Linked DNA regions of Neurospora crassa OR74A. Each later gene encodes a partner of the first gene's protein in a complex. Links are inferred from orthologs where the notes say so. Each region holds a gene or a part of one and is shown in the gene's direction. Other genes may lie near its edges.

What was found.
Region 2: the proteins of NCU03526 (region 1) and NCU04302 are in contact, whole or in part, in a crystal structure (PDB 3ONG), measured with the Saccharomyces cerevisiae proteins. The link is inferred for Neurospora crassa OR74A from reciprocal best matches to the Saccharomyces cerevisiae genes UBA2 and UBC9. Residues at the interface, in NP_010678.3 of Saccharomyces cerevisiae: Asp474, Ser476, Leu478, Gln483, Arg484, Leu485, Leu486, Asp488, Tyr489, Asp490, Phe491, Asp493, Leu494, Leu511, Ser513, Glu515, Glu516, Gly517; in NP_010219.1 of Saccharomyces cerevisiae: Met1, Leu6, Gln10, Glu11, Arg13, Lys14, Arg17, Lys30, Asp33, Gly34, Ser35, Met36, Leu38.

What each region holds. Positions count from the first base shown.
Region 1 is NC_026502.1:356,805-361,399, forward strand, and holds the start of NCU03526 (ubiquitin-activating enzyme E1 3), read left to right. Parts: upstream 1-1,736; 5' UTR 1,737-2,007; coding exon 2,008-2,154; intron 2,155-2,357; exon of another isoform or gene 2,358-2,416; coding exon 2,417-3,836; intron 3,837-3,908; coding exon 3,909-3,993; intron 3,994-4,040; coding exon 4,041-4,377; 3' UTR 4,378-4,533; coding exon of another isoform or gene 4,534-4,595. Other genes in the region: NCU03527 (hypothetical protein), read right to left, coding at 1-531, 676-1,288; oar1 (3-oxoacyl-[acyl-carrier-protein]-reductase), read right to left, coding at 4,534-4,595. UniProt on the Saccharomyces cerevisiae protein: The dimeric enzyme acts as a SMT3 E1 ligase. It mediates ATP-dependent activation of SMT3 and formation of a thioester with a conserved cysteine residue on AOS1.
Region 2 is NC_026505.1:5,554,659-5,558,262, forward strand, and holds NCU04302 (ubiquitin-conjugating enzyme E), read left to right. Parts: upstream 1-1,497; 5' UTR 1,498-1,997; coding exon 1,998-2,032; intron 2,033-2,103; coding exon 2,104-2,264; intron 2,265-2,337; coding exon 2,338-2,361; intron 2,362-2,434; coding exon 2,435-2,688; 3' UTR 2,689-2,939; downstream 2,940-3,604. Other genes in the region: pex19 (peroxin), read right to left, coding at 1-319, 378-671. UniProt on the Saccharomyces cerevisiae protein: E2 ubiquitin-like--protein ligase mediating SUMO/Smt3 attachment to septins and PCNA. Seems to be involved in degradation of S- (CLB5) and M-phase cyclins (CLB2).

The sequences.
Region 1 (4,595 bases):
ACCAGATACTGCAGGCCCTCAACTGCATCTCCCACTCGCCACCATGCTCAATCATCTTCTTCTCGCGCACCGCCGTCTCCAGCGTGGGACCGTACAAGAGGCAGCCAAGCTGCCACAGCATTTGCGGGACGCGGTAGTCGGCAAACATGGTGATTTTGTCAATGTCCGCAAAGGATCCATAGCTTTGGCCTTCGAAACAGGCCCACAAGTCAGCGACAAAGATTTGTGCGCGCTTGAGGATGCGGATGGGTTGGCGCCGGCCGGGGTAGGGGTGGATGTCAGCGAAGCAAGGGAAATCGGAGGCAAGGAGGTTGACGAGGGCTGCGGCTGAACCGTTTGCTTCGTCGATGAGGTCCAGGACAGAACCATCGTATTTCTCGTGGAGGACTTGGCCGGCTTCACGGAGACAGTCGAATCGTTCTTGGAGGAGGGGGATCTCCTCGTCTGTGGCGGACCGGAAGACGGTGCGGAGGACGTCCGGGGTGAATTTTTCGTCATTGATCCAGAATGCGGGATCGGTGATGGGGATTCCTGGACGAGAAGATTCAAAAAACAAGTGTCAATGAAGGGTTCCTTTGTATTTCTTTGCTTTGTTACATAACTATGATACAACTCCAACAGCATCTTCCTCAGTAGTAGCAAAAAAAAACTTCAAGAACAAGAAAGACCACAAACCTTCCTCTAACCCCCGCTGCAACGCCGCCACCAAACTCCAGTACCCCGTCCACCTCTTTCCTCTGTACTCCACCTGGAACCGGTCTTCCTCGCTCTTCTCGCTCCAAAACGAAAAGTTGAGCAGATCCATGGTGAAGATGAACTTGACCGTCTCCTCGTTCTTCTCCTTGGGGTGGAGCGCGTGCGTCGACCAAGTGGCGGGCGAGTACTCCCGCTGCTGCATCTGGTCCCAGATGGTGTTGGCGGCCTTTTTGCACCCGCGCATGTCTAGGGCCACGTCAATGGCGTGGTTGTAGACGAACTCGGCAGACTCCAAAACGCCCGTCTCGGCGGCGGTGTGGGAGGACTGGTTGCCGTTGAGGTGTTGACGCAGGAGCTCGAGGAGCTCGGGGTCGGGTTGGTCTTCGTCGGAGGAGTATGACATTTTTCGATTCACGGGGGTGGTGGTGGTGTGGATGGGACGAGAGAGAGAAATGGGTGAAGGGAGGTGAGGAAATAATAGAGGGACTGAAAGGAAACGAGTGATGTGTTGGGATTTTGAAGAAAAGGGTTGAAGAGGAGGTCTGAGGAAGGGGGTCAGGGCGGAGGGAGTGGGAAAACGGAAAGGTTGCATTTTGAGAGTTTGGTTGGCACTGACACTGACTGTCGAGGGGGCAAGGTTAACCCTGAGATGGGTTGACTGATTTCTAGAATACGATATCCTAAGCTCGAGGGGAAAACAAACGGTCAATTTTACGGTGAGAGATATGATATCCTCGATATCGTCTTGCTCACCCTACTGTGTCGTTTTTCCATTCTCTCCAACCATTCAGAATCAGACCAGCCAATCTTTCATTGTCTGCATGATGTTCCTCTGTTGACTTGTTCAGGGTTATGTATGGGTGGACCCCCCCACCGCAACACAAAAACACAAAGTGGTTGCAGCTTGCAGCAGGGCGACCAATAAGACGCGGCACTTGCGTTGCCGTGTGCCTGCCGGTCGAAGGATCGTCTATGGCCAACCCCGGAATCGGTTTTAGCGTGTCGCTGGAGTTATGACGCGCTACCACCCAGCAAGTGCTGAAGTCTTGACCTGGAAGGAACTCCGGTCTGCCTGTCGCCGATTCAGCGCCTGGTGGTTGCAACTTTTGACTGCCTTCAGTTTGCATCCACGAGGCTGAACTTTTTCAATTTCCGCTTCAATTTTCTTCACCTCTTTCTGCCCTGGGCTTCATCTTGTCCTGGGTATACAGTGACCGCCCGCTCAACGTGAAATAATACTACCCCCCGAACCACCTTCAAGCCTGGTCGCACCTCTTGCTCCTCGGGCGCAAGCCTCCTCAAAATCTCGCCATGGATCCCGCAATGGGCAATCCCATGGTCCCCATGACGGCGCAAATACCAGCACCAGTTGCCCAGCCTATTCCCTTGCCGGTGTTGACGCGGGACAGCTACAATTCGCAATCATTAGGGCGGTCTTTGAATGCAAATGTCAAGCAGGTACGTGCCTTCATTCATCCCAAGTCGTCTCCTCGGCAACAAATGAAGGCCTCCCAATGCTGTCGCAATCCCCGTCGCAACTGGCATCGCTCGGATTGCTATAGAACTTCATTACGAACGCCCCTCCAATTCCAAATCTACGCTTCCTTCCTGCCTTCGTCGCGCCACAACCACCATCATGACTTCCCAGTTGACTGCCGAAGCGGTTCTCGCGCTAGCTCCCGCAGAAACCCCCGAGACTCTGCTAACGACCACCTCACAGGCGCGCGTGCTCATGGTAGGCGCCGGCGGCATCGGCTGCGAACTCCTCAAGAACCTCGTCCTTACCGGCTTCGGTGAAGTCCACGTCGTCGATCTCGACACCATCGATCTCTCCAACCTCAACCGCCAGTTTCTCTTTCGTCACGAACATATCAAAAAATCAAAGGCACTTGTAGCCAAGGAGGCTGCGCAAAAGTTCAACCCCGCCGTTAAGATTGTCGCCCACCATGCGAACATCAAAGATGCGCAGTTCAATATCGAGTGGTTCAGCAGTTTCCGGATAGTCTTCAACGCGCTCGACAACCTCGAAGCCCGTCGCCATGTCAACAAGATGTGTCTTGCCGCCGACGTCCCCCTCATCGAAAGTGGAACAACCGGCTTCAACGGCCAGGTACAAGTCATCAAAAAGGGTGTCACAGCCTGCTACGATTGCGCGCCCAAGGAGACGCCAAAGTCATTCCCCGTATGCACGATTCGCAGTACACCGAGCCAGCCTATTCACTGTATAGTGTGGGGCAAGAGCTACTTGCTCAACGAGATTTTCGGAGCGAGCGAAGACGAGTCAGCATTCGATCATACTGTTGATGGTGATAATGCGCAGGAGATCGAGGAGCTCAAACGCGAGTCGGCGGCGCTACGAAAGATCAGGAATTCTGTGGGTACAGAAGAGTTCGCGCAGATGCTTTTCGAAAAGGTATTCAAGACGGATATCGAGCGGTTGCGCTCAATGGAGGACATGTGGAAGACGCGCAAGCCGCCTGAGCCACTCAACTACAAGGAACTCCTCGATAAGGCCAAGTCGCTCGACAAGGACAAGGTTTTGAAGGATGCTCAGAAGGTGTGGTCGCTGGAAGAGAACCTCGTCGTCTTCAATGACAGTCTCGAGCGACTTAGCAAGAGGGTTCTGGAGAACAAGAGCGCCGGTGAAGAATCCATCATCACCTTTGACAAGGACGATGAGGATACCCTGGACTTTGTCGCCGCGAGTGCCAACATTCGCTCAGCGGTGTTCGGTATTGACAGAAAGTCAAAGTTCGACATTAAGCAGATGGCTGGCAACATTATCCCTGCCATTGCGACAACGAACGCCATCGTCGCCGGTCTTTGCGTGCTGGAGGCATTCAAGGTCCTGAAGGGCCACTACGAGCAGGCCAAGGAGGTTTTCCTTACGCCGTTTGCTAATGCACGTATGTTGGCGTCCGACAAGTCACGGGAGCCTAACCCTGATTGCCCGGTCTGCGGTGTTTACCAGACGAGAGCGTATGTCGATTTGGAGAAGGCGACGTTGAACGATTTGGTAGAACACTTGATCAAGACGAATCTGGGGTATGGCGAGAAGGATTTCGCTATTAGTAACGAGGTTGGCATTCTGTACGACCCGGATGAGACGGATAATCTGGAGAAGAAGCTTTCGGAGCTGGGTATGTTTTGCTACTCAGATTACAGTGGAAGCTGCTACCCATATCGCAATGGAAATTGCTAACATCGTACAGGCATCAAATCCGATTCATTCCTGACCATCACCGACGAAGACGATGAGGAACCTTTCGTTAACGTCGTCGTTGCCATCCAAGAAGCGTACGTCCCCATTTTCTCTCCCATGTTCGTAACTAACACCCTCAAAGCAAGGAGCCTCTGGGTGACAAGCCAGTCAAGGGCATTCTCGACCCAGAGGACGTCAAGATCCCACTCAAGCCCAAGAAGCAGTCACAGCCTGAGCCAGTGGCTACGCCGACAGCTGCCACCAACGGTGCCAGCATATCCAACGGCCAGAACGGAGGAGTAATAAACCTTGATGGCGATGAGCCAATGACGACACCAGCCAAGTCGCTCAAGCGCGGCCACCCCGAAGACGCAGAGGGTCCATCGGTCAAGAAGATCAAGGCCAACGACAAGGCGGCGGATGACGATATCGTCTTTATCGAGGATAGTGCGGGAGCTATCGTGATTGATGATGACTGATCTTCCATCACCCCTTTGCCGTGTCTTGTGCGCGGTTCATTATTGCTACCGTAGGCCGTAGTTATGGTCGGTATATACTATGATTACCACATGGCTTGCTTGCTATTCTTGCTATACCTACTAGCCACAGATACCCACGGGAAGCGGTGTGTCGTTTCAGACAGCACTTAACCCTCCATCAAGATTAAGTACGCAGTTGTTTGCATACGGGTTCTTGA
Region 2 (3,604 bases), on another chromosome or scaffold:
CGTCAAGGCCACCCGACTGCATCTGCTTGAGCAGCTCAGCAAGGAAATCATCGGAACCCTCAGCTGCGGCAGCGGCCGTGGCCTGCTCGCCAGATGTCTGCATGCGCTCCATGGTCCGTCGGATGGTCTCTTGAAAGGAAGCTTCGGCATTCTTGCTCGATGGTGAGGCCGCGGCCGAGGCTCTGCGGGAAGAAGACGGAGGAGTCTTGGTCGAAGTCTCGGCCTTTGGGGTGGGAATACCAGGTGTTTCGGCACCCGAGGCAGCGGCGGCGGCGCCTAGCTCCTTGAATATGCTCTCGAACTGGGCTTGTAGCTCAGGCTGGCTCAGAGTTAGCTAGAGCCGCAGAAATTGGGATATTGCGATTGTTTGCGCCTACCGAGTTCTCGATGTCACCGAGGAGATCAGCCATGCCGGCCTGCAGCTGCTTCGCAAACTCCTCTTCGGACAGGACATCATCTTCCCCCTTGGCACCATCTGCCCCAGCGGCGTCTGGCCTTGCTGGCCCCGAAGGCTTCTTGGCTTGAAGGTCTACTGCGGCGAACTCATCGAGCATGTCATCCAGGTCATCCAGGTCATCCTCATCCGGGTCGGACACGTCATCGTCGAACTCGTCGGCCACGGTGGCCTTCCTGGGCACCTCCTCCTTTGCGCCGGCGTTATTCGAAGCCATTGTGCGGTATGAGTGTGTAAGAATGTTGTGTAAATCGCAAAGACGTCGATCGGTCGTGGATGCGCCTCGTTCCGACAGACGAAGCAGATGCTCGGGCAAAAGGTTGACCCCACGCTGAAGCACGACCTCTTTGAGAGAGGTAAAAGCGGGAAGTTGTCTGTTTGAGGTAGAAACCAAGCTAATGCAAGGCGGAGTGGTCTATCAAGAGAGTATACAAAATCTCTCTGGGATAGGCAAATCCAGAATTGTATAGCGAACCAAAACCTTCAAAGAAAGGGTGATCAGTGGAAGAAAACATGGAAGGGAGAGAAGTCAGATGGAGATTGACATCCAGAAGGGTTCAGATGACGAGGGGGTTTTCCTTTGCATGTGCAATTCGGCTCACTCCTCATGGCGCTTTCCCGCATCTCTGCTTGAACAGGGCGGTTACCCCACCATTGCCCACCGGGGTACGCTGTGTGCCGAGGGACACCACCTCCAGCTTCAGACAATATTCCTTGATCAGGTTGCTTGAGCACTTAAAGTCCATACTAACAGGCATCTCGCTGTCATCCCATCTTCTGATGCTAGTGTGACTGCGGATCAAGCTCATTTTGGAGCCTACACGCTGTCACTGAAATGGGCCATTTACTGTATGTGAAATGCCGTTGACAAGCTTCGGAGTACAAGTTAAGCAGAGGAGAGCTTCCATGCCATTCACTTCACCCACTCTCCGCCTTCCTGATTCGAGGCGACAGGAACTCCGAGCCCGGCAGGCAATAACTGAATGAGCGTGTCGCCTGCCATTCGATTTGCTGTCACTTCGTTGCAAACTGAAACTTCCCTCCAGCCTCGTTAGGATTCGAAGTCTACCACATCAGTCACAGTCGGTTCCCTTCCCAGGAAACACTTCGTTACATAGTTCCATTCGGATTGCGCATCATTCCCCGCATATACTCCAGATATTCGAACCCTCATCTTTTCTTTTTTGGCCTTACAAACCCCAAATCACCTTCACCTCTCACCTTGCGGGGCTACTACGCAGTACATACTCCACGCTGCTACATATCGCGTGGCCCATAGGATTGGATCTCTTACCTGCAGAGGACCTTCCCACACTCCACCTTCTGATCCGCGCCCATCCCCCCCGTGACCAACCCGAGCAGCTCTTCAGCCGCATCCCCACGTTTCTCGGCGCCGTCATTGCATTAGCAAGAAGCCGGCCGTCGAAGTTGAATCGTCGTCGCATTCAGTTTGTCCAAGGGATCACTCGAATCCCACGTTGATCAGCCACCGCTCAACTTTTACCGACGCCAAACCCCGTCAACGTCAACCTCGTCAACCACCATGGCGCTGTGCCAGAACCGCTTGCAAGAGGAACGGTACGCCGCAAAGCATTGCGCAACAGTGTACCTACGTCCAGCAGACTGACAATCTTATTCTCTCCCTCTAGGAAGCAGTGGCGAAAGGACCATCCCTTTGGCTTCTATGCCCGTCCCCAGAAGAACCAGCAGGGTGTGCTCGACTTGAAGATTTGGGAATGTGGTATTCCGGGCAAAGAAAAGACAATCTGGGAGGGTGGTCTGTTCAAGTTGACCGTCACGTTCCCTGATGGTATGCGCCCTGCACCGGTCGGTGTCTTTAGTCAGAAGAATACACGTGCTGACTTGACGTTTCCTGCATGCAGAATATCCCACGAAACCCCCCAAGTGTACGCCGAAAGCTAGCCCTCGTCCATCCCCCCTTGCTACGATCACATGGCTAACATGTTGGCGTCTGAGCAGGCAAATTCGTCCCCCCTCTTTTCCACCCCAATGTCTACCCATCAGGCACGGTCTGTCTCTCGATCCTCAACGAAGAAGAGGCATGGAAGCCGGCCATCACGATGAAGCAGATCCTGCTCGGCATCCAGGACTTGCTCAATGACCCCAATCCCGAGTCCCCAGCCCAGGCTGAGGCGTACAATCTCTTCAAGAAAGATCGTCAGGAATATGAACGTCGGATCAAGCGCGTCGTGCGGGAGAATGCCGCCCCATAGATTGGGAACCCACGAATGTGAGGGTGCTTGGTGAAAAAGAGAGAGCAGTTCTGTTTTGCTGGACCTGGGACACGGAGTTTAGGGATACCAATTCATTGTTTGTGGCGGCATTTGGAGGGAGTTCATTCATTGATAGCGATCCTGCGCACGATTCAATTTTCGGGCTGCTCTATATACTCATGATCGAGGAACAAGAGTCTAAGAAAAATAAAAAAAATTACCGACGCTGCGCCCGATGCATCAGTCCGTTTCCCCCAACTTTTGTGCTCAATACTTGCTGTCTCGGACCTAGATCTCCCTTCTACCAAACTCACGGTCGAGTTCGGCCGGGGAGTAGTGGAATCAGTGGGATGAACCCTCAAGAGTCATCTTCAATCGCAGATGATTCGACCAAGGCGGGAGAGGTATGCGTTTCAAGAAAAGATAGCAAAAAGTTATTTCACGGGAAGTTCACGTCCGGAAAACCTAGAATATCGGGCACCCAGTTTACAGAGTCTCAGTCAGATACTCCGTACAGGATTTATCACTAGCTTTATCTGTGTCTTCAGTTTGTCAAGAAGTTTTTAACCTCACGGCAAGGTTGCAAGCCACGCTCCGCTTGCGGAGAAACCTGGGGTACCCGTCGTCCCCCCCCCCCCCCCCCGCCCCCCCCCTTCTCCCCACTTAAGGTTTGTAAGGGAGTTGGACTTTATGCCGTTGACACAATGACGTTGGAGAGCTGGAAGGACTTGTCAGCCTGTGCAGCTGGCACAAAATCTGCCGGCACACTGTGATGAAAATATTCACACTACTGCTCGTTTCTCTCCACTGTGTGGCCAGCTAACATGCTTGGCTCGGCGGCTGATGATGGCTTCCAAAAGGTACACGGCTTTCCGCGGTTCTCTTATCAGTCCGGTGTAGGTAATCCCTGGATTGG